Lonchura striata: one gene and its partner. The protein of the gene in region 1 binds, or shares a complex with, the protein of each later gene. Links are inferred from orthologs where the notes say so. Each region holds a gene or a part of one and is shown on either strand. Other genes may lie near its edges.

The links.
Region 2: the proteins of TNFSF13B (region 1) and TNFRSF17 are in contact, whole or in part, in a crystal structure (PDB 1OQD), measured with the Homo sapiens proteins. The link is inferred for Lonchura striata from reciprocal best matches to the Homo sapiens genes TNFSF13B and TNFRSF17. Residues at the interface, in NP_006564.1 of Homo sapiens: Ser162, Tyr163, Lys204, Thr205, Tyr206, Ala207, Met208, Gly209, His210, Arg231, Cys232, Ile233, Glu238, Pro264, Arg265, Glu266, Asn267; in NP_001183.2 of Homo sapiens: Tyr13, Asp15, Ser16, Leu17, Leu18, His19, Ile22, Arg27, Ser29, Ser30, Asn31, Thr32, Pro33, Pro34, Leu35.

Annotation. Positions count from the first base shown.
Region 1 is NC_134604.1:82,477,787-82,487,681, forward strand, and holds the start of TNFSF13B (tumor necrosis factor ligand superfamily member 13B), read left to right. Parts: upstream 1-5,758; coding exon 5,759-6,085; intron 6,086-6,168; coding exon 6,169-6,274; intron 6,275-9,895. UniProt on the Homo sapiens protein: Cytokine that binds to TNFRSF13B/TACI and TNFRSF17/BCMA. TNFSF13/APRIL binds to the same 2 receptors. Together, they form a 2 ligands -2 receptors pathway involved in the stimulation of B- and T-cell function and the regulation of humoral immunity.
Region 2 is NC_134618.1:8,894,042-8,903,230, reverse strand, and holds the start of TNFRSF17 (tumor necrosis factor receptor superfamily member 17), read left to right. Parts: upstream 1-5,345; 5' UTR 5,346-5,586; coding exon 5,587-5,675; intron 5,676-5,938; coding exon 5,939-6,029; intron 6,030-9,189. Other genes in the region: GSPT1 (eukaryotic peptide chain release factor GTP-binding subunit ERF3A), read right to left, coding at 1-277. UniProt on the Homo sapiens protein: Receptor for TNFSF13B/BLyS/BAFF and TNFSF13/APRIL. Promotes B-cell survival and plays a role in the regulation of humoral immunity. Activates NF-kappa-B and JNK.

The DNA of each region.
Region 1 (9,895 bases):
AGACTTGGTTTTACTGTATTAAAGAACCTGGTTTCACTCCCAGCTGGAGATACATATTTAATAATGTGAAGCAATGAGCTGAGTAATGCAAATCTGCAAGGTGGCTGACAGAAATGTATGTTCACATACCAAGTTCAGAAGTTCCTGCTAGTTTGATAGTAACTCAGGAATGGATTGTGCTGCTTGAGGACAGAAAGAAAGGAAGTTCTACAGCTGGTTTGAATTACACTTAACATCTAGTGTGGGCTAACTATTTACAGAATTTCAAAGGGAAAGGTCAGGCAGATAACCCTTTCTTGTCCGTCCTCTAGGACTCAGGGACAGTGCAGCAAATACGGCTACGGGGAAATTTTGAAAATACTTGAATCCTTGTCCTGTGCCCTCTACTGAAGGTCTCCAGACCATAGCAGCAGCAGAGCAGCCACTCCCACTTGAAGGGCCATAGCTCCGTGTTTATCTTGTTATCATACAAAAGCATTTTTAGCCCATCTGTGCAAAAACTATTGCATAGTGTCAAAGAGGTGGAGAAAAGCAGTTCTCCATGTTGCTGGATAGCAAAGCCGGTGAGACTGTAAGAGGAGTGGGCTTCAGCTGTATGACAGAGCTCCTTTTTCCCTGGGCAGTAAGAAGCAATTGCTGTAACATCATGAGGGAGTGGGGGGGAAGGGGAAGGGGAGGAGGCTGGCATTAAGCTGCTGTAGTATATAAATCCTGGGTTGTCTTTTTATATTTTACATGTTTTGAAAACTATTTTCTAGGTAGTTCTGCTGCATACTTTGAAAGACACCTATAATTGTTTTTCCTTTCTGTGTCAGTTCCTCTTCTCTTTGAAAGTGCTGTAATAACCATGTAAAAAGTGACAGTGGCTGCAAGTCAGATATAGGTTTACTTTGAGTAGTGTGCATTTGGACCCAAATTGTATAGATATCTAGAGAAGTAATATATTGCAAGGAATGAAACAAGGATGACATACCTAAAATGTGCAGAGACATCTGTATTATCCTCGGCAATTTTGAAATGTTGAGGAAAAGAGAAAATATTACCCTTTTTGCCTCAGAAAAATCTCATAGAATTTTTGTTTTCTTTTTAACAGGACAGTTTATCAAATAAGGCTTAAACTGTTTGTATAACACATCCTCTACTTACAAGGTATTCAACAGCTTCCTAGAAGTTAAAATAATAAGATGTAAGATATACAGGCATAGGAGTGGAGTATCAGAAATAGAGTACTTTTGGGATCCATTTGTGAGGCAGAACTTGCCTGGATTTGCTACTGTGTAAGTTGTAGTTAATGGCTGAAAGAACTAATTAAGTGTTCTTTCAGGGAATGTACACTGTTTCAGAGGTGTGTCTGTGAATACTCTTAATACAGATCTCTTCATTAGCAGGAAACTATAACACAGGATTTATTCTGATCTCCCCCAAAATAGTCCTCCTGTTTTGTCCATCTTCAGAAAGGACTTGAAATTAAATGGAAGATTTCAGAATGGAACCTTAGCTTTTTCTGTGCTCTGCACTCTCTTCTGTGGTGAGGCGAGATACCGTGGTCGCTTTCTTGTAATACCCACAGGGACCATTTTGCGGCTGCTTCAGAAGTATGTGAAGCTGGACCCTTGCCACTGGAGGCGTACTTTTAGTGTGGCCTTCAGCACACTTGCATGGCTCTCTGGGTTGCAGCATCTGCACAACCTCCTTTTTGAAAACAGAACATTTGTTTTGAAGTAAACTTTTATGTTTCTTCAGTAAATTGGGTTTTTACGCAAGCCTTCGCAGCCATAGCAACTGCTTCTCTTTTGTATATTGAACTTCGTTATGGGTTTTTCCTCTCCCACAAAGAAGATGGTTTGTGGTTAAAGTACATAAATGGATTTCAAGAAATCAAGAATTCAGCTTCTGGTTAAACCACAAATTTCCTGTATGATTGGTAGCTATCTCTGCCTTGGTTCCCCACCAGATGTAATGTTGATCTCTTATAAATTTTCAGATTAGCAGGACCCATCTTTATAATTTAATCTGATCCTCTGCATAATGGAAATGAAAAAAAAGTTAATTACCTGCATAAAGTTACAGGGCTTGTTTCTGCCATAACATCTTGGAAGTTTTAAACAGCCTTAATTTTGGGTTCAGGATCCCTTAATAATGGGTCCAGGAACCCATTTTCCTGTCTTGCAGTAAAACATTCTCACCTTTAAGCATCTTCAGTGGCAATGTGTTGGGGTCTGGTTTTAATTTATTTATTATTTTGAATTTTACCTAAATTTTTGCTCTCTTTCCTGGAAGTAAAGGACTTGGTTAACTAGAATTCTTAGACTAGCCAAGGCATTTCTTAATAGTTTTCCTTGGCTAAATTAAGGAGTTTTTTTAGTGAGTTAATCTGAGTGTTCAACATAGCTCATGCTTTGGGTTAAGGAGACACTATGGTGTATGCACAGATAATGTACGGTGCATGCAAACTATGATCATGTTTTCAGAATACCTTTATTATAAGTTTTTAATTTTATTTGTTTGCAGAGTTAGATGGCCAGTACTAGGTTTTTGCAGTTTGATGCAATGATATTTTATTTTGTAGCAATAGTTTGGAAAATGCTGCTTTGAGCTGGTCTTGAGGCAGCCCCTAAGGTTTGCTGACTGCATGTGTTTCTTAAGACCAAAATTGTTGATGTGGTACAAAAGTTTGCAAAAGCTTTCAGGAAAGCTGTCCAGTAGAAGCAGGCTGCTACACAAAACCTGAACACAATTTCTGAGATTAGTTCCTTAGACATATTATATTCATTCTGGATTTTTGACCATTTTCACAGTTCAGTTTTGTCAGTCTTAGCTACATGCAAATAGGTTTTGTCAATATAAAAGCACTATGCTATTTCCCCGCAGCATATATATCTGAAGAGTATGCCTCTATTTCAACAAGAATATTCCACTGAGAGCTTGTGATCAGCTGAAGCCATCACATTCCCATGTCTGCTGATGGGAGGCTGATCTGAGCCATACTTAGTGTGCTTTAGTCACGCCTTAGTTTAAAACACAGCAGAAGCAGCATATGCTAAACTTACTGACTTTGCTTTAAGCAGGCTAAGGACCACTTTGCAGCTCTGCCAATGAGAAGAATCATAAGGAGAGGACATTATGACAAGACAGTGGCAAGCATTGAGACACTGACTCTAGATTCTAGGCTCAGCAACTAGCATGGAGTTGTTGTTTGATTTGGGGACTTTTTTGGGTTTGGTGATTTCATGTAATTTTTGTGATTCGCTTTGATGCAATTAGCAATCTGCAATTAACTAAAGCTCCATCTGATTATAATGGAAGTTGTTCAACTAAGCATATTTCTAGGTAATTCATACTGGTTTTCATTTCTTATTGTCATTAGTCACCATTCTTATTCTCATTGTCACCATTTTTGTCATCACAGAAGTTGTGTGAACTTACATTTTCTTTCTAATCACATAACTACTTATAAATCTACAGAACAACACAAGGTTGCCAACAAAAAATCCCTTTGATGCTTAGCTACAAATGCCTGTTGAATTTAACAATTTCTCATGTGTGGGAGATGAGATTTTCCTCATCTCCCCTTTGAAATTGTCACTGATGAGAATTATAAGCAAAATGGAGCTAGGTGTCTTACAGAAGTCCTCTATGTCATCGCAATTACTTTGTCAGCCCAAATAATGACCCTATTTAAGGAGGCTATGGAGGCTGGGAATAGCCTATTTTCTCTAGAAGTGGCTAGAGCACTGCTATTTATATACCAGTCTGTTATTTTCTGATACATTAATGACTGCAGAGACCTCGCTGGCCAATAGTTCCTTGGTGTTCCTGGATAGCTAGTTAAAACTTTCCTGTTCTCACTCCATTTCATTTTCTAAAATAGTACTTCTTTTCCAACTGTCACATTATTTTTTATTTTTGGAACAGTCAGTACTAGGCTGGTAATATTCTGATGTCTAGGGATACTTGAAGGCATGTCTGCTTAGTACCAATAATTGCTTATTCTGTTAAAAAAACCCATTACATTAGCTCATATTAAATTTACTTCAAAATGCAGCCACATTTAGAGCTTAGCTTAGCCTTTAAAATAGGAACAGAAATGGTATAGTATTCTATTTTTTCCACCCCACACTGATTTCTATATAATTTATCACAGTATATATGTGACTTCTAGGTGCAAGATACAGGATATATTTTTTCCCTTTGCATTTAGGAACAGATTTACTTATCTTTACAGGATGTGTGTGGTTGCTAGAGGTGGCAAAATAAAGAAAAGAGCACCTTTAATTACAATAGAAGATGATAAAGCTTATAATCACACTAAATTTCTTGTAGCCTTAAGAAACAGAAGGGGGAGAGGCTATGGAAGTTGTTACTCTATTGTTGCTCCTTCTTCCTTCTCCTTCCCAACAGAATTAACTTGATCTGAGCTACTCTGGTTAGGTGTTGTCATCAGGATTTTTTGCAAAAACTCCTGTTTGGACTGACCTGTAAAAGTTTTATCTTTGCAAAGATAAAGTTTACTTACATGATAAAGAGGGGTTGATTTTAGCCATAATTGTGACACTTTTGATATTTTTTTCTTCTGTCCCAAACCACTGAAACTTTTAACAAAGGGGTAAAAGTTGAGTTTTGTGGGAGATGATAATAAAAAAATCACATTAACATATGTGGGATTTCTAGGTAGCCCTGCTGTTGCAGTGAAGAAAGAAAATCCAAATACAGAGTTTTAAGATTAAAATACTTATAAAATCTTAAAAGATTAACTTTAACCAGACACTCAGGATTCACCTGAGTATTGCCAGCATGCATGTTTAAAGTTGTGGGTTGTTTTTAATTTTAAATTCTCTAAATAAATATTTGCCCTTTCAGCCTGTTCATATTTCCCCCTCTGTCATTCTTTTCCATCCCCTAGTTTTCACCTCTTCTAGTTCTACCCCACCGAGTTTCCTCTTTGTGCTTCTTCGTGTTCCCTTTTGCATTAATGCAGTTTCTCGAATTCTTTAGAGAGACTGTATTTATTAGAAAAGTTTATTAAAATGTCATCCCTTTTCAAGTTTTTTTGATGAACTGAACTGCAGAATTTACATCTTCATACAACTGAGAACCTGTAATTTGTCTCATACCTGGGAATGTTTTTCATTATTGTTTTTAGAAAAAGACAAAAAAATATTTTGAATAATTTGTCTCCTCTGTAGGCATATTGGCACTTTAGCTATGAATATAAACACATTAATATAAATGATATAATGTATATACAGAGTACATCTATATGCTTTCATACACACAGAAGCACATGCCTGTCATACGTGGATGTCTTTTAAGTACCACTGGATGAAATGCTGCCAGGAAACTTTACATGGTTGCTGCCAGGAAATTTTACATGGTTTCTGCACTTCTAGATAAGGCTCCAAATCACCAGTGGTACTGGCTGTGCCTAAATTTAAAGATTATGGGAAATGGCTATAGCAAGCTGCCACATGAATAACTAGTGGAAAGTGAAAGGAGGAAGGTAGCTTGTGAGAAAGTATTCGTTTCCAAAATGCAGCACAGAGAGGTGGAAACAAAGGGAAGACAGAATCTTAGCTGTTCACTCTGTACATTAAGTCTAATGGTGCTATCAACAGCTTCATATGACAGGAAATGATCTGGGCGTTTTGTTCACTTATTCTGGATGCCCTTAGTTTCAGAGAGCAACTGGTAACATGGATTGCACCTCGGAAGGGGACAGCTGAACTCTCCCTCTGGCTTTAGTAAGGAAAGAGCAGCGATGAAATCCGTGGACTGTGTGCACGTCATCCAACAGAAGGATACCGCCTCCTCTCCCTCTGCCCCCACTGGTGCTGTTTCAGGCACCACGGGACTTTTTCCTGTCACATTCCTGTGGCTTGCAATGCTCCTGTCCTCTTGTCTTGCAGCAGTGTCTCTTTACCATGTTATCATCCTGAAAACAGAACTAGAAGCTCTGCGCAGCGAGCTCATCTACAGCATCCAGGCAAGGTCTCCGCTAGACCAACCACTCGTGTCCCCCGATGAAAATAAAGCAGGTACCCCTGTTTCTTCCTTCCTGCAAGTGTCTGCAGCTGGCTCCAGGCAGGTAAGCAGGAGGGGTTGGTTTTGACTTGCAGGGCTTGGACCAATGTGGGGCTGCTCTCACTGACTGTTGCTTCTCCTTGTTAGGAGAGCAGGCTTGCTGGTACTGGCACAGCTGAGAGTTTCCAAAAGGAAATCTGGAACGGGAGTAGAAACAGGGGCAGGCGGTCTGTTGTCAACACAGAAGAAAAAGGTAAATACCAGCTGATGAAGTGGTTTTGGATACTGCTGTTGGATATTGTCTAGAGAAAAGCAGGAGTGTTTGATTTGTGTTTTCTTTCTCCTATCTATTGATCTGTGCTCCCAGAGCCCATTCTGGTTTTCAAAATTATTGGTGGATGAATGCTGTTAACCTTAGGCATATTCTCTTAAAAGACAGAATACACAGAATGTTTTGGTTTTGAAGGGATCTTTAAAGGTCATGTAGTCCAAGCACCCTGTCATGAGTAGGGACATATCTGTTGTACCAGATATTTATGCTATCTGCAGGTTAAACTTGAATGCTAGATCCCAAATCTGCATGATGTGTTAGAGTTGAGAAAGGCAACTTCAAATCAATTAGACCTTTAACTGTTCAATTCTCTCTGATCAAAACAGGGAGGGAAATCTATTAGTAAAAATGCCAATTTACTTTTCTGAGAAACATGCTCACCCTAAAAGAGAGAAGTAATGACAACTTTAGGGAAATAGGAGCTTTCAAGAAGAAAGGCTGGCTTGTACCTGAAAAAAGAGGCAGACTACAAGGAATTCAGAAGTTAAGCATAATTTTTACATTAAAACAATCTATCAATAAATAGTAAAATTAATAAAAGAATGCCTATCCAGTAAGATTTTTTTGTCATAGTTCTTCCTTTTTAAAAGGTTCTGGAAAGAGCACTGACTGTGCTCCATGTGTATTATAGATGTATTACAGAGTTGACATATTAATGGGATATATTTTTTTCCTTAAAATGCCTACATTTCTTTCATATTCCAAACACAATGAGGATGAAATGCAGAATGTTATTGTACTAATTTGCACACATACTCTAATTGCACTGAGTAACTAAAGTATTCCAGAGCTGCTAAACCAGTTCACTCTTCTTTTGTATATTTTTATATTATTTTAACAGATATCGTAAACAATTTAGAGAAGTTTAATGGAGCAAATTATAGGTAAAGACTAAATGAAGCTTTGAATAAAATGTGTTTGTCAGTGAGCAATTAACATGACATGTATTTCACTTGAGCTTCAGTAAGCTAAATGAAATTAAAGTTCTAGTGTAGAATCACTTCATTTAATTCCAATATTCAAAAATATGCCATTAAGGACATCACTTAAAATCCACCGATTTATGTGAGATTTTTTCTATTTCGTTAGTAGTCTTTGATTCAAGGTCTTGGCTAAGAAAGATTTCGCAAACAGGACTGAGGTCATGATTGCTTAAATTGTATTTCTTGTAGCCTGTTTCCTTCCACAGGAACCACATAGCTCCCCTGCCCTCCCCACCCTAGGAACTCCCAAATAAAAACAAGTGATCTGAAGTGCAAGTATCATAAAAAATAAGGAGGTGTCTTTTTTAAATGAATGTTAGAGCACCAGTACTCTGCAAGTGATCCAACTTCCTTCACAATAGCTTTCATCTTTACTCTTATTGCTATTTGAAGCAAGCAGGGTTTGGGGCTCCTCAGCTGTGCTTCTGAGTAGACTTTTGATTCTTCTCATCATGTAGCCACCTCTGATTATACCTGTTTATCTGTAACACAGAACATTTCAATTATGCTACTTATTTCTGTAAACATTTTTAAGGTACAGCTGGCTTTAAAGTTGTTTAGGATGGATGAAAGAAAACACATATGAACATTTATTTTAAAGGGAAAAAGCTACATAAGTTGACCTATTACAAATATGTTTTCTAACATGAACCTCATATTTTTGTATATAAAAAAGAAAAAAGTAAATTGCAAATCTTGAATTTTTATCCAAGTTTGTCTGTTAGAATTAGCTTTCTGCCTGCTCTAATTACAAAAAATTTAGCTTTTCAGAGTTTAGTTACGTATTATATTTTCTCAGATCAGATTTCACTGATGACCATGAACCTACTAGTCAATGTTAAATTTTGTTTTAGCAGAGTGAGTTAAACAGAAGAACATGGTGTTGTTCATGGTGCTGAATCCAGTCTACTACTTGGTCATGTACACAGAAGTACAGACCCTGCATTTTGATTGTTTGACATTCATATCTGGGTACCAGAATCCCATCAGCCTCCAAACTGTCCTGCAGATGTGTGGCACTTATTATGTTATAATAAAAAATAAATCAGGGTATTGAGTGAGGTGCCTATTCTTGTCCTACTTCTGTTTGCTTCAGCAAGGTCTCAAAGTAGAGTCTTATTTTATAATTAATTGTTGAGCCATCATTTTACTTTTATATAGATCAATTCCTTAGAAAGTTAATATTGGGAAACATCACTGGTATCTAATTGCTTCTCTTGTGCTTCAACAGAGAGCAGAAGTAAAATACAGAACTAATATCTTGTATATAAATAAAGTTATTGTTCAGTTCTGGGCTTTTTAGACTTTAATCATCAAATTCCAGGAATGGATGCCCCATCATTCTTTTTTTACAACCAGCATAGCCTTTCTTAAACATACTGAATTTCCATTTTAATGCATACAAGTGGCCACAAATAAGCATTTTAATTAAAAGGACAACTGAACGAAAGTGAATCTAACACAATATTGTTACTTTTTTTATGGGGTTTACATTTGTCTATGCTAATGCATAAAATTATTAGTCATCAGTAGTTGCACATTTTGTGTCTTGCAAAAATTTCCAGCTTGGGTAGGTTGAAGAGAAATGTTTCAAGCATCAATTCCAAAAAAAGCTGCACAGTCAGCAGTCAGAACCAGAGTTCTTGATGCAATGAGTAGGAGGTAATGGGTGATTTTGAAATGTATGCCTCTGGCAAATGTCATATCAGGACATGTTACAACAAATGTACTTTTTCTTTTTGTCTTTCTCTTTACAAATTTCATCTATGGAGGAAAATTGGTGCACAGCCTAAAACCTCTCCTGAATTCTATATTCTATTCACAGTTATTGATTGTGTTGCCTGTGTGTTTCTTTCTAAGCTGCATGTGCACTTGAGCCTGGGAACAAGATTTAGGTCCCATTGCCTAAGCCAAAGTACGAACGTCAGGTTTCATTTTCACACTCTCTCAGTGTCTCATTCTGCTCATTATTGTGGGATTCTGATTTCCATGGCCTAGGGAGGTGAGAATCAGGTCTTCTGTAAATGCAAATGCAGGTGACCTACTGGGATCAGACTGGAGCCCCCATGGACTACATTTCCTCTGGTGTACTGAGGTTCCCAACTCCTTGCATGTATGAAGGAGCTGAGGAGCTATTCTATGTAATTCCACAAATCAGTGAGGCAGGATAAGCTGGCACGTGACTTGGCAATTGTTTTTTTTACTAGCAATTCTGAGGATCTACTCCAACAGCAGTTGTGTCCATGGGAAGTGACTCTTACCTTCCAAGCATGGCATTAGAATTTGCCATTGATCTTGATAACTGGAAAATTGGTACATTTGTTGGTAGAAAGTGTTTTGACTGTGTAAGTTGTTACTTTAGATATCCATGGCAGAGGGATAGCAAGGGGTTTTACAATGGTACTTGAATTTAGTGATCTTTGAATTGAGATGTAAACTTTTTTTACTAGCTGAAACAAATGCCACATATAAAATTTCCTTGCCAAATATTCGTAATACTTCATATTTTATTGTTTGAAGAGGTCAAATATGAAATAAAAATTGAAATCAAATTAAAAAG
Region 2 (9,189 bases), on another chromosome or scaffold:
CGGGCGGGGGCGAGGGCGGCGGCAGGCCGGGCGCCGGGCCGCTCCGCAGGAAGGACGGCACGAACTCGGCGGCGTGGACGTTGGGCACGAAGGGCTTGGCGTTGACGTTCAGCTGCCGGCTGAAGGCCGCCCCGAGCAGCTCCTGCTGCGCCTCGGCCTCCGCGGCCGGCGGGGCGCAGCCCGGGCCGGCGCCGCTGCCCGGCTCGATGTCCGCCTGGTCCCAGCAGTCGGGAGCCGAGTCGCTGCTGCTCCCGCTGCCGCTCCCGTTCGCCTCCATTTTGTGGCGGCCCCACAAGGCTCTGCGGCCCCGAAGCGTCTCCCGGGTGAGGGGGGAGCCGGCGGCGGCACCGACTCAGCACTCGCTCCGCCGATTCCGCGTGTGCTCCGCCGCCCCGACGCGAGCGCAGTGTGGCCTCTCGGGCCGCCGTACCCCCTCCCGGCAACCTCTCCTACCGCCATCGTAGTAGTTTTTATCTCCTCCGGCCCTCCTCCTGCCGTACGTCCTAGGCACGGCGCGGGAACTACAATACCCGTCACACCACGCGCGCGCACCCGCGCCCCGCCTCCCGAGGACAGACGGGAAATGGAGTTGCCTTCGTTCCTTGAGCGCTCAGGAACTGCAACTCCCGGCGGCCGTCGCGCGCGCCGTGCGTCCCTGCCGGCCCCGCCCCCGCCGCCCTGCCCAGGGGGACGCGGAGCGCGGAGTTGGCGCGAACGGGAACCGCCTCAGGCGGGACGGGAGCCGCCGGGCAGCTCCGGGCCCTGCGAAATCACACCGAGCCCGCCCCGCAGAGCTGAGCTGCACAGGGATGAGAACCGCCGGGCAGCTCCGGGCCCTGCGAAATCACACCGAGCCCGCCCCGCAGAGCTGAGCTGCACAGGGACGGGGGCAGAGGCGGGACGGCACCGCCGGGGCAGGTCCCAGCGCTTCACAGACCGCGTCCCGCAGAGCAGAGGGCAGCAGAGCTCCGGGGAGGCTGGGGGGGCACACGCCCTCCCTCGGGATGCTAGAGGGAACGCTGCCGTACCTGTCCGGCCAAAAGTGGACAGGATGCATGAAAGTTCCAATTTTGGTCATTCTGTAGGACACTTTGACTTGGTTGTTAACCATGTAAAAAACCTATCCCATTATAATGGCCAGAGTCAGTAGGCCTTGCCAAATACTGAGGCCCTCTCCCCAGTGGTATGACTCTTAGAAGTTTTTATTACAAAATCTCAACAAACAAACTCAAAAGACATCGCTTGAAGTTAAGTATATTTGGAGGAAACAGCGCAGAACAGAGAGGAAACTAGTAGATTTTGGTTACAGGTCTGCACGAGGCTGTGGCAGCATTTTGTCTCATAAGGTACAGTGTGTTTATAATGCGCAAAGCAAATACTTGGGAGTTTCTTGGAGTGCTGACACGTGAGGGCCGAGTCATCTGCAGCATTATTCATATTAGAACACTGTAGGACAGATTACAGAGTTGTTTTGAAAACAGATAGTCTTAGAACTAAAAATGAAAGATCTCCGTTTGGTGCAGAGTCCAGGGCAGTTTTTGTTGCAGAACAAAAGCTTTCCTGAAGGGGCATTTGTGTAATGTAACCCTGACACGAGAACCAGAGGGCTCTGGCTACACACCAGCAGCAACATGTGGGCCATGGACAAACAAAAACTTCTACAGATGTTAATGGAAGTATGGGCTTCCAACAGATCATAGCCAGGGAAAACATTAGTGTGCAGGGTAGCACTTACAAAAGGAAAGAAAAAAAACACCAAAAAGAAAAACAAAAAAACCCAAAAACAAAGCCAAAAAACCAAAGCCCCAGTAACACCATAGAAAGTTCATATTGGAAGAAAAGATATCACTTATAATGAGAGACTAAAAACCTCTGCCTAAGTGGAAGCCTTTCCTTCAAGCACCACCAAGAGGTTAACCCTAACCCTATTCTCTGGCACAGAGTTAAAAATATACTCTATTTTTCAAATAGAGTATTTAGAATTTTTGTCAAGCTGCAATAAGTCCCAGCTGTGCATGGCAATCACTTTTCAGTTTAACTAAAGGAAAAGTAGCATGCAGTGGTTTGTTTTAGTTTGCTTTCTTTTAGTTCTAACCTTTGCTTGTTAGGTGACATTTATTAACCAAGAGGTGTCTGATACATTTCATATAGTATGGAAACAAGGTAGCACCATTTTAGCACTCAGGGATTACTAGTGTTGAGTAACAGATAAAACTCCACTGGAGAGCAAGCAGCGTGCATTCTGCTGACAGTGACTTGTTACTGAACACTTTTTACTGTCACTGTGAGCATTGAACAGCTCACGTTTATAATGAGTGCAATGCTGTACTGCAAGCTCCTGTTTTGTTTGAGCCCTGGCACAGCCTACAGGTCAGGAAAGCCTTAACTGGGGGCAGGTGCTGCCTTTTCCGAGCAGTTAAGGACCTTAAAATGATCAGCACAAGGAACACAGGGACAGCAATTTTTGCACACATTTTGGCATACCTTAAAAAAACTTCTTGAAGGTTTTTGAAATGGACTTTCTTTCCAATGGCTCATAAAGCACTGCGTTGTGATACATTTTTTTGTGTTTGTGTAGGGGGAGTAGGACCAAATAAGTGTTTGATCAGAGGTGCAGAACTGCATATTACCACTGATTTCAGTGGAAAAGAATTAGTTGTGTTTCACAACCTTTCTTCCTTCCTTGACAGGTATGTATTCCCTAGGTACTTGCTAGGATACAAACAATTAGTCCACAGAATTTCAAAAGATGCCAGATGTCCTTCAGAGTGTACAGACCTGTTTTACAGGCTGTCACACATAGGAATTGTGTAAACTCAAACACTAAATTTTTAACAGGGTTAGTAGTTTGTTTTTCCATTTTGGAACAGCTGGTACTCAAAACAAAAGTGGAATTATGATAATTTTACTGGCAAAATATCCACTGGAGTGTAAATGGTCCTGTTTACTTGAGGTTTTAAAGCATTATAAAAGCTTTTTTTTTGTTTAAATCTCTTCTGCATGAAAATGTTTAGAATAAATATACCAGCTCTTCATTTAATAAATGTTTAAAAGCTTTTCTTATTGAGAACCACCCATATAAATCCATTCTCATATCATGAATTACTTAAGTGATCAAGACTGCTTAGAAAAGAGGAGTCTGGCCCAGCTTAGGGTTAATATATGATGACTGAGGGGCAAAGAAATTGTCCCCCTCCCACAGCTGCAGTTCTAATATCCATCCTTGTGCTGCCTCTGAGCTGTTAGACCCTGTGCTGAGTCTGTCCAGCTCATTAAATTTAGTGTCAGAACAATCCACTTTATTTTTCCTCCTGGGCTACTCAGATGAATCAAATAAGAAGCTTTTGACAAATGCCAGGGCTGGTATAAAGTAAGAATGTGGAACAGGACTTATTTTTTGGGTGAGAGCAAGTTATTAATATAATAAACTATCCCAAGGCAGCTTCACCACTAATTTGCAGTCGGTGGTGAGTCAGTGCTATAGCAGTGAAATGGAGGGCTCTGTTCATATGGTATTGGAAATAGTGGTCTGTACTTTGGTAGTAACTTCCACCCAAGCTCCCACAAGCACTTTGCAGCCTGGCAGGGACACCTACGAATACCAATGATTTAGCCATGTGAACTGAAGCAGGAGAAAAAGATGGATTTCACTAGAAGGCTCCAAACAGGTTAACAGCTTCAAGAAGTTACTTGCTCAGTACCAACAAGTAAGTTTTTAAAATTCCATAAACTACCAACAGCTTTAAAATGAGAGAGAGTTGTTTTATGGCTGAATTGACTCAGTTTACCTTGATATCAAGTAAATTCCTGAGCTACTGCAACATGGGAAAAAACATTTTGGCTGAGACTGGGAGGAGCAGGAAAGGAATACTACTTCCCTTTCTGGCGTGGCAGCAAGCTGGGATTGCAGTGACGCCGTGTGAGCCATACCCTCATCTTTAAAGGTATTCAAATATGTACAGTAGTTATGCACCTAAATGAGTAGCCTGATATTTAGAATTGCTTTGAAGTCAGAAAGAGCCTGTAGAAACAAAGCCAAAGGAACAAGTTATTTAGTTAGGAGAAAGAAAAGACAGGAGGTAAGAAGTAAATTGTTAAAAGTTTGACCAGGTGCCAGGAATTGATAAATTAATATTCTTAAACCCTGGTAAATTCTCTTTCCAGGTAGTCTGTGGAGATGTAGCTGCGAACTAGAGAATAGAAAACACAAGTATGTTTCAGCATGATGGGTTCATTAAGAACCAAGTCTTTCCTATGCTTTACTGGTGCTCGTGGAAGTGTAAGTGAATAAAGAGGCTTTTATATTGACACAAGACCATGTCTAATGCAAACTAAGATATCTTGCCCCAGAAGCATCTTTTTACTGATTTGTTGTTCCAACACTGCTATTTAACAAATGCTCTTTCTGGCCTGTTCCTCTCCCTGTTCTGGGCATTGGCAGAACTGCAGTCCATGAATTCCATCATAGAAATGTATTTGAAGCTATTTCACTGGAAGAATTTCAAATCAAATTCTTCTTTGGTTTTCCAAATGTAGCACCAGAGCATAAGCTCAATTTCACAGTCCAATCATAGAATTACTCCACATCTGCAAAGGAATTTAGAATTTGTTTCACATTTCATTGTGGGTTGGCAATGAGTACTTTAGAGCTGGATTCTTCTATTCTTCAATCTAGTTAAAGCCTTTTTTGATCACTCCTTTTTGGAGCAATTAAACACATACTGCAGGCTCCAAAAAGGGCATAAAGTTAATTGGTTTTCCTTTAGATAGCAAAAGAAATGCATGGATTGCTACACCAGAATGCCAGTTTGTAATTTTCTGTGTCCATCTTCTCCGCTCTCAAGTACCTCCCATGTTCAGCTCATTATTTTTAAAAATAGTCATGTGCATCTCTCACTGTTATGTGTATAAACAACCTTTATTCTCTTTGATTGTGTATTTTGAAAAAGAAAAACTGAAAGGTCTTTTTTTGCAAGTGCCATCCCTTTTTTCAGGTGACTCTAATTGGAGGCTCAGAATTCTCAGCTGTGTGATCTATTGCTTAGTTACCCTGTGTTGTTTAGATCTCAGAGATCTGTAAGGTGAGTTCTTGTTGGATCATTGCTCACGATGCCTCTCTTTGAATGCACAGGCAGTGCAGTGCCTCCTCAGACAGAATTTCTTCTGTGGTTTTATACCCTGAGACTCCAGACTGAAAAATAGGAGAGGGAGAGTAGTTAAGGTAAGTAGCTTTTCTGTCAAAACTGTTGTGTGTGTGGGTTTCTTGCTATCAAAGCTCAAAAGAAACGAAGATGGGAATTTAGGTGTGCAGATTGTGAAGAACCTGTGCACAGTTTATAAACCTTATGACAGTTAAAATGCTGTGAATAGCAGAGGGATTGCTCAATGTGGAAGGAATGTGCTGAGCAAAGAATGCGCATCCAAGGAAGGGAAGAATGAGATCACTTAAATGATGTAAACAGTGACTGAGCTGGGACTAGGAAGGTTAGAGACAGGAGAGAATCTATTTTGAAGATATTTGAAGGCAGAGATTGTGTGGTTTCAGAGATCTGAAAGCCAGGTTTAGGATTGGTGGGAGGAGGCATCATGTCAATCAAAATATTGAAGCAGCTGAAAAGAAATCTTGTGAAGTACAATCCAGACCTCTGTTTTTCTGTTCTTACGCTTTTATTTAGGTTAGCAGTATTTTGATTAGAAAATTAACCTTTTGCTTCCTTAGAAGCAGCATGGCCAGCAGGACCAGCGCAGTCACCACCGCTGCTGAGGCTACACCTCGAGTGTTGTGTCCAGTTCTGGGCCCCTCATGACAGGAAGGACATTGAGGTGCTGGATCATGTCCTGAGAAAGGAACAGAGCTGGGGAAGGGGCTGGAGCACAAGTGTGATGAGGAGTGGCTGAGTATTAACACACTGTTTATTCACACCCTTTCTGATTGCAGGCACTCCCTGACATGGAGAAGCGCCGAGCTGCCATGTCCACTGCTGGATACTGTAATAGCTCCAGGCCAGATCTCCTGCTTTATGAATATGGTAAGGGTTTTATGACACTTCAGTTCTATATGGAAAATTTTACATGCTGGCTGTCTCAAGGGAGGGGAAAATAGAAAACTGGTTCCATGTGGGATTTTCATGTGCTTTCTTTTCACCTTCTTAATTCTCTGGAATTCCAGTTGAGGGAGCATGTTGTCCATTAGAGATCCCTTAAGATTTTAGTTTCTGTAATGACTAAAGCAGAATGGCATTATTGTTATGAAGGAAGAATAACAGCTTCATGGGATTTTTAAAGCTGTTCTTCTATGGCTACTTAACATGTTATCATTGTTGCAGAAAATAATTACTTCATTATGGAATTGTGAGAATGAAGTAGTGAGTTTGTTTCTAAATAGGCTTAATTACTCTAGGAGTATTCTGTGCCAGTATTCTTATTCCAGAGACAGCAATTTGCATGGGGAATTATTCTGGAGTAGTGGTGGCTAAATCAATTGCAATTTCCCTCCTGTCTTGAGAGAGAGCACACATTGACACTGTGATTACTGTTCATGAGAATTTGAAAAAAGTGAATGTGCATTACTCAAACTTCTGATTAGCTAGAGAATTTGGCTTAAATTACCAGAACAAAAATTTCTGTTAGACTTTAGTGTATGCCAAGCATTTCACGTAATTCATAATTGTTCCTGCACATTTATTTTTGTTGTAACTCCAATACTCCTGTTGGCATTATACCACTGATGATTTTTAGTTTATTTTGTCTACCTGCAAAATCCCTATAATAGTAGCACGCAAGAGATCATTTTTCCAACACAAAATATAAGTGCTTACATTAAGAAATAAATTATATTTATATTCTGTAAAAACTATTGTACCAACATAAAAATGTCACTGGCATTCTAACAAGCATTGGCTTATCCAAACTTGCTTGCACAATCCCTTTTTTATGGATTGTCCTTAGTAGTTACATAACTATTCCAGCACATGTGGAATGTCAGAAAAATGAAAAGATATCTTCTTTGCCCCAAGGGTTTGGAGTCTATTAGGACTGCTTTCCTGGGCTGTGCACTTCCTCTGTTCCATAAACTCATTCCTAGCTATGTCAGCTTTGAACACAGTGGGGGATACAGAAGCTGTCTGTGACTTAATTGACTGTGTTTATACTATTGTTATTTTAATCACTATTTTAAAAGAACATTTTCTCTTCTGTTGTTTTCTCTTTAATCCATTTTGGAAATACTCAATGTAGCACCAGCAACATCACTCTTTTCAAAGCTGTGGTCTAATTAAAATGTGCTGAACCAAACAGGCAAAATCCACATTGTTCTTGTTTTTGCTCTGTGTGCAAATGACATTAAACAATATTTTGTCTAAGAGCAGCATTGTTCAGTGCAGCTTGTAAAAGTTAATGAACATGATGAACCCTTTAATAGCTCCATTCTTTTATTTACTAGCAGTGTGTGCCCCATTCCTAGAACAGCTTATCTCCTCCCAGCCATACAGTCAAAGCATGCACTTCACAAAACATGGATTTCTGAAAATAACTGTTTCAGAAATCTTTAACACTGTTTTAGGAGATGACTTCTGTAAGACTGCTTTTCCTAGAAGTGCAATAACTTTTGAGAAGAAAAAGTGTTTTTTGGTATGTACATTGGTCTTACAGATTTTTAGGATTGTTGAGGTGAGGTGATTTATAAGAGACTTTTCTGGGGGATTTGTTCTGTAAATAGCTTTAGAGAATTGGAGAGGATCAGAGCAAGCCTGTAGTATATGATTTGACAGCATAGGTCAGTTGCCTTAGTGAGTGGGAAAAAAAGAGCTGTGCCAGCACAAAACCATCAATGTAGAAGCAACTATACAACCAGAAGAATTCCTTTGTCAGCCTAGCTAATGTTGTTTGTGAAGGGAATGTTATAGTCCTAGCAGAAAACCCTCTTTCTCTTGGTAAGTGCTATGTAATTATGCCAGCAGAATTTCTCAAGTACAGTCAGGCAAAAAAGTTGGCACACGCTTCAACAGAGAAAGCCTGAAGTAGTGCCAGAACAAAACTTTGTTGTTTAAGTTATATGTGGTAAACAGATCAAGTTATTGTTCTGTGACAGATGAATTTCAATCTTTAATCATTGATATGATGATATTACTTACTTTGATTTTCCATCCAGAGTCCTCATTTTATTATTTTTGCTTAGACACTCACAACAGCTTTTTCAAGTTAAATAGTGAGAGAAAAAATTTTTCTTACCTTTTCCAGGTGACTGATTTCTGTTACATAATATCAATTTAATATGTCACAAATAAGAACTGACAAGGATTTCTGTAAGTCTTTGGTTTCTCCAGATGTTTAACAAAACCAGCAGTCAAATTTGGGTTCATGGCAGGAAATGCTCTAGCTGGATGTTCAGTGCTTGGTGTGCCTGTTTTATGCCACAACAACATGAAACTGGAGGTGTTCTGCTCCCATGGGAGAAGGCTGTAGGTCTAAACCATTTGTGTATGTTTGTGTACAACTCCAAAGCACCAACTCCTGCTCTATGCTGGGTTATGCTCCCTTCACCTGTACTCCTTTCACCTGTAAAAATGATTTGATTGCTTGAAATGCTGTTCAGCAATTTGATACCCTACTACAACTGTCAGTGCTAAAACCATTCTTTTAAACAACAAACAGAAAATAGCATTCATACTGGTCTTTATAAATTGTCCCCAGGTGTCATTCCTGAGTCAGAAAATTTTGGAAACAAATCTGAGAATTGGTTTTCCTTTTCTCTTTTTTCTTCCTGTTCTTTCTGCAGTTGATACTTCACTTCTTGCATTTTTTCCCATTGCTCTCTGTAAGGATGCCAACTCCAGCAGGCCAACTTAACTTGTCTGAATTATTCTTAGAGGATATCTTGGGTAGTTTTTGAATTTCAGTTACAGTAATGTAACTGCAGAAATACTTCCCTGGCAATACTTTGTGATTTATGGTTGAATGATTATTGTAGTTGATAAATCCTTTCTTATTTTGTCCAACTCTGCTTATTTCTGCCATTGTTTTGAAGCAAAATCAAATTAAAAGAAGAGAGCATTTATTAGCATCAACATGTAATTGTTTGGAAAGCCAGTGCAAGCTCTGTAAATCCCATAACTGAACAAAAGCTGAAATGTAACTTTACTGGTAAGTAAGGCATGCATTTATTATTCCCTAAAGGTAAATATCACTGTA